2 linked regions of the Canis lupus familiaris genome follow. The protein of the gene in region 2 binds, or shares a complex with, the protein of the main gene of each other region. Links are inferred from orthologs where the notes say so. Each region holds a gene or a part of one and is shown on either strand. Other genes may lie near its edges.

The links. Proteins that work in one complex are often made in the same cells at the same time.
Region 1: the proteins of CNNM2 (region 2) and protein tyrosine phosphatase type IVA 1-like are in contact, whole or in part, in a crystal structure (PDB 5MMZ), measured with the Mus musculus proteins. The link is inferred for Canis lupus familiaris from reciprocal best matches to the Homo sapiens genes CNNM2 and PTP4A1. Residues at the interface, in NP_291047.2 of Mus musculus: Phe526, Asp528, Val551, Asn553, Glu556, Gly557, Asp558, Pro559, Phe560, Tyr561; in NP_035330.1 of Mus musculus: Asp72, Gly73, Ala74, Gly107, Leu108, Gly109, Arg110, Arg137, Arg138, Gly139, Ala140, Phe141, Asn142, Lys144, Gln145.

Annotation. Positions count from the first base shown.
Region 1 is NC_049248.1:18,637,429-18,639,866, reverse strand, and holds protein tyrosine phosphatase type IVA 1-like, read right to left. Parts: upstream 1,146-2,438; 5' UTR 1,086-1,145; coding exon 564-1,085; 3' UTR 544-563; downstream 1-543. UniProt on the Homo sapiens protein: Protein tyrosine phosphatase which stimulates progression from G1 into S phase during mitosis. May play a role in the development and maintenance of differentiating epithelial tissues.
Region 2 is NC_049249.1:15,679,025-15,682,683, reverse strand, and holds part of CNNM2 (metal transporter CNNM2), read right to left. Parts: intron 714-3,659; coding exon 570-713; intron 1-569.

The sequences.
Region 1 (2,438 bases), on a different chromosome or scaffold from region 2:
GAGCAAACCTGATGTATACTGGTATAAATGTGGGAGATGTAAACATAAAGTGAGCAGGCAAATAACCATATAGGCCCTAATTTCTATGTTTGAAATGACTGAAGGAATAAACCACATAAGGTCCAGAGTGTTCATAGTTCCTGGGATTTTAGTTCTGTATGATACTAAAAATATACAACAAGTATTGTGCTGGGTATTTTGGCACCTAATCTTTCTAAATTTCTTATATATTGATAAGATTCTGGCATGGGAATAGACTTAAAGACATAACTCAATACTGCATGATTTCAGGAAAGGTCAATTGGTACAAGTGATAAGCACATTTTAAATGCTGTAAAGCAAGAAACTTTTGCTAAGTGTCCAAATAGTTTGATCGTAACCCAAACATAGAGGTTGCAATTCCATCAAACTTGTGGCCTGATAAAACCGCTTTCCAATACTCCTATGGAAGCTTCATTAGACTTAATCACCAAGCCAACATATTGGCTAATATGTGTATATATGACAAATTAGGTCCTGTTTCAAGTTCCACTTCCAAGGCAATGACATCAGGCACCCCAGTTTTATTGAATGCAACAGTTGTTTCTATGACCATTGGAGTCTTGGAAGCGCAGCCGCATTTTAGGACGATACTTCTCCAAATACAAAAGTTGCTTGCTGTTAAAAGCTCCACGCCGCTTTTGTCTTATGAACTGTACTGCATCTTCATATTTCATTCCACCTTCAATTAATGCTAGGGCAACAAGCACTGGAGCTCTCCCAAGGCCTGCGACACAATGGGCAGCAATACAACAACCAGGTTCTTCACGAAACTTAATTTTTACAAGACTTACCCAGTCATCAACAATCTGGTTGGATGGTGGTGCACCATCATCAAAAGGCCAATCGAGAACACGGATGCCTTCTTTCTCCACAAGAGTAGTGTCATAAGTTGCTTCACATACTCTAACTATTGTTGTAACTCCATACTTCTTAAGTTCCTCTATAAATTTGTTTAAGGTCGCATTGGTTGGATTGTGTGTAATAAGAAATCTCATGTTCTTGTATGTGACTTCCACAGGAGCTGGGCGGTTCATTTGAGCCATGTTAATTAAATTAGAAAACACTCAATAGGGTTATGAAAGAATTTTAAAAAATTGAATACAGAAATGATGCAAAGAAACTGAGTCTACTTTGATATACTCCACTTGAAATTCTCAGTGCTTTGAGTATGAAGTTGGGAGTAATGGGAAATGAAATGAACCTCCTAACAATTCTTCAATCCAGTAATACTGAGGCAATAGAAAGGAAATGCACTGAGGTTTACCCCAAGCAGGTCAGAACTCTTGTAACATGCTCTGTGGATTTCAATTCAACACTTCTGGGTCCAGGTTAACCACTCTTATGGGGGCTTCTTGGTGGAGTAGTAATGAATTTCTACAGTTCACTTGTCTGCACAGAGGTCGTGCTGTGCCTGGCAGTAATCTCCACTGCCCTTCAGAAACTCCATAAATGTGTGACCAAGAACACCACAGAACTGAGGAATATGTTTACTCATTGAAGATTGTGGCCTAATCATACAGCCGGTCCCGAGGCGGCAGCTTCGCAGGCGGTGGTGGGGGCACCAGGCTCTACCATGGAGTGAGCGGCTCTGGTACTCAACTTTTTAAATCAAAATACAAATTAAAACCACCATGAGGTACTACTACTATCTGCCATTATGGCTAAAAATAAAAATGACTAATAATACCAAGAGTCGGAAAGGATGAGAACCAAATGAAATGGAACTCTTTCAGAAACCACTTTAGAATAACTATTGAGGAGGGGCACCTGGCTGGCTCAGTTGGGGGAGCATGCAACTCTTGAGCTTGGGGTTGTGAGTTCGAACCCCATGTTAGGTGCACAGATTACTCAAAAATGAAATCTAAAAAAAACAAAAACAAAAACTATTGATCGGTTTCCACTAAAAACAATTACCACATGCCCCCAGGAGTTCCACTCCTGATTATATACAAAAAGAAATATGCACTGTTCCCCGTAAGAACACTTAGAAGAATGTTCATAGCAGCAGTGACAGCAGCATTAGGCAAAAACTGGGGGCTTTTCATAAAATAGAATACTACGGAGAACTGAGAATGAACAAAGCACTGTTATATGGAAGAACAGGGATAAATCTCACTAACAGAACATTCAGCCAACAGACAGGAAGTACAGCTTCTGTAATCATATTAACATAAATTTCAGAAGCAGACAAAACTATTCTATGGCTTAGAAGTCAGAGTGGTGATTACATTTAGGACAACAGTGATCAGGGGAGTTTATGGGTTTCTGGTAATAGTCTGTTTCTTGTTCTAGGTACAGCTGCCTTCACTTTGTGGAAATTGAGCTATACATTACAATCTGTGCATTTCTCTGTATGTGTGTTATACTTCAATAAAACATTTTTTTAATTCCCATAG
Region 2 (3,659 bases):
AGCTGCCTAGTTGTGGAAAATAAAAAATTAGTAAAGAACAATTCTTTTTCCACATGTAGAATAAATGTAAAAACCAAGAATGGAGTTTTCTGTTTAGGGCAAGTAATGACCTGATCAATGGGTTAGAAGAAGCTGGCTTTTCTTTAAAAAAAAAAAAAATTTAAGATTTTATTTATTAACTCATGAGAGACACAGCGAAAAGCAGAGACACAGGCAGAGGGAGAAGCAGGCTCCCAACTGGGAGCCTGATGCAAGACTCGATCCCAGGACCCTGGGATCACAACCTGGGCCAAAGGCAGTCACTCAACCACTGAGCCACCCAGGTGCCCCAAAGCTGACTTTTCTCAAAAAACCCACAAAAATAAAACACTGCCATTAGACATCACAGGACCTGCCTCCTCTCTCCCCCTCTGACGAAGGGCCTAGAACACACTGCTAAGTGGTCCACAGCCTACACACACAGCACATGGTTAGAGACAGGCAAATGACCAGCGAAGACGTGTGAGGACCCATGAACAAGAGGATAAGAAACTGCCGAGGTTTCAAAAACTCACACTCAGGCTACTCACTGTATAAATCTGTTTCGTCTAGAATCTCGGATTTGATGATTTCTTCAATCACGTCTTCTAAGGTGACGATTCCCAGAACTTCATAAAATGGGTCCCCTTCTCCTTCATTGTTCACTCGCTGCACAATAGCCAGGTGGGATTTACCTTTAAAGAAAAGAAAACACAGTTTAAGAAGGAATTTTCTGACCTTCCTGAACGAAGCCTCATATGTGATGATGTTAAGAATGGTGGTGACGAACACAGATACCAGGCGATCGGAGTATGCATTTGGGCATTTAAACATGGTGCGGAGATGCCACAGACAAATGGAAAAGCTTCCTTGGCTGCTGAAAGCACGAGCGCCAAGTGGGAAGAGCCTCAGCTTCTATACACCTTGGCCTGCGCCATATGATCATCTGCTTCCTCTCAGATTTGGTCTTCAGTCACTTCAGCTCTTCTTCTCCTTCTAACAACTGCTCCTTTACTTACAGGTAACAGTTCTCGAAGTGTGGTCCGTGGACCCTTTGAGGTGCCCAAGACCCTCTTAGGAGGGGGAGGGCAACAAGGTCAAACTACTTCCAGAGCACTAAAATGTTCTAGGCCTTTTGCACTGTGTGGAGATTTGAACCAATTGTGCCAAGGCGTCTGAACACAAATTGAGACCGCGGTGGCAGACCATTTCCGCTACCACACATGCCCTGGGAAAGGAGGGCAATAGTTCATTTCTCTTCAGAATGTCCCAGATGAAGATGTAAAAATTGATTTAATTAAATCTTGTCCTTGAGTACTTGTTTTTTAATACTCTATGTGGCAAAATGAGACCCACCATGAAAGGCTTTGGTGGCATTCTGAAGTACAATGAGTGGCTGTCTTGAGGAAAGGCACACACACAACCGTTTGAAGTGCAGGCTACTAGCTGCGTTTTTCACTGGACATCATTTTCATCCGAAGGATAAGTGCCAAACTGAGGGTACTTAGACTTGGATATTTGGCAAATACTTTCGTGAAAAGGGACAAAATGAGCCTGCAGCATTAGCTTATGATAAAATTTGAACTTTCAAGGGAAAAATCAGAATTTTGGGAAACTTGTATCCACCACGGGCTTGCAAACTCAACAAAGACCCTTCTGATAAGATAACAACTGTGATTTTTAAAATACTGAATAATGAAAGGAGTCAGCATTCCAAAGATCTGCATAACTCAGTGAGCCAGTATTTCCCAAATGATCCTGGTAACGATGTTACCAAACCATGCATAGGTAAACCATCTATTCAGAGTATAAGACTCTGATTTGTAACATCAGATTTTTCCTCTCATACCCTATTTTTAAATTTTTTAAAAGAGGTTTTTATTTAAATTCCAATTAGTGAACATACAGTATTATAGTAGTTTCAGGTGTACAATATAGTGATTCAACAACTCCATACATCACAAGTTGCTCATCACAAGTGCCCTCCTTAATCACCATCACCTAATTCCCCCATCCTCTCACTCACCTCCCTCTGGTCACCATCAGTTTGTTCTCTATTGAGTCTCTTACTTGGTTATAATAACAGATTTTTTAAAATAAACTTTTTATACTTTGGCATAATTTTAGATAGACAGAAAAGCTGTAAAGACAGTACAGAATTCCTGTATAGCCTTCCCTCAGCTGCTCCCACTGTTAACATCAGGCATTACCACAACCTGTTTATAAAACTAAGAAACTGACATTGATAGAGCACTATTAAGTACATTCCAGACTTATTTGAGATTCCACCAGTTTTTCTATTAATGCCCTCTCTCTGTTCCAGGATCTATTCCAGAGCACCACATTGCATCTAGCTGTCATGTCTCTTCTAGCATCTGACAGTTTCTTAGTCTTTGCTTGTTTTTTATGATCCTGACAATCGAGGAGTACTGGTCAGGAATCCTGTAGAACGTCCTTTGGTTTGGGTTTGTCTGATGCTTTCTCATGATTAGAGTGGGGTTCTGGGTTTTCTAGTTACATCATATCAAGGCTTAAATGATGGCCACATGACATTCTCAAGTTTCTCCACTGTAAAGTTATTAATATTTCTTCTTTTCTTCATTCTATCCTTTGGAAGCAGGTCACTAGGATTAGCCCACCCTCAGGGAAAAGTGAGGGATAGAAGTTAAGCTCTACTTCTCCTGGTGGGAAGTACCCACATATATTATTCAGAATTTTTCGATAAGAAAGATTTCAGACCAAAGGATTTCAATTTAACAGTGCACCCAAAGTCCACTGGTATAGTTTCAGATTCTACACTGCAACTAACCTTTAAAAAAACTAAAACTTATGGAGTTTCAGCATCATATCAAAGGAGAATATTCCCAATTGCGCAAAAAAGCTGTTAAAATATCCTTCCCCTTTCCAAATACATATCTATGTGAGGTCAGATTTTCTTCCTATATTTCAACTAAAACATATACTTCCTATATTTCAACTAAAACATCCACAGACTGGATGCAGAAGAAGATAGGAAAATCCAACTAGGCGATAAAGATGTGGAAAGATAACACAACAATTATTGGTCATATAACAAAGGTTATTTTTGTTTTGGAAAAGTTACTTTTTTTGGAAAAGTTATTTTTAATAAAATGTTACTTATGTTAATGCAGTGGATCTATTATAATTGTCCTTCAAAAATGAATTAGTAAGTCTAGATGTTTTATATTACTCCATTTTAACATCAAATACAGTAAATATCAAGAGATAGAACCTACATAAACAAAAGTTCAAGAGTCTTCAATGATTTTTAAGAGCTTAAAGGTATCCGAATACAAGAAAGTTTAAGAACAGCTACTGTGCGAACGGCCACAAGGGCCAGGGAAGAACAGGTGCCCTGAAGCTGACCAGTCCTAGACTGGAGCCCCAGCATGGCCACTTCCTAGTCATTACTAGCTGTGTGATCATGAGGAAATCACAGAACTTTCCTGAGCCTCAGTCTCCTCATCTTTTAAAACCAGGCTAACAAAAATTGCCATATCAGAGACAGTGTCGAGATCCAGCAAGGACAATGGCTAGGAGCCACTGAACCATCAATAAATGGTAACTCTTACTCTCTTTTTAACATTCTTCCTCAGTTCTAAGGCACTGTCGACTTCTAC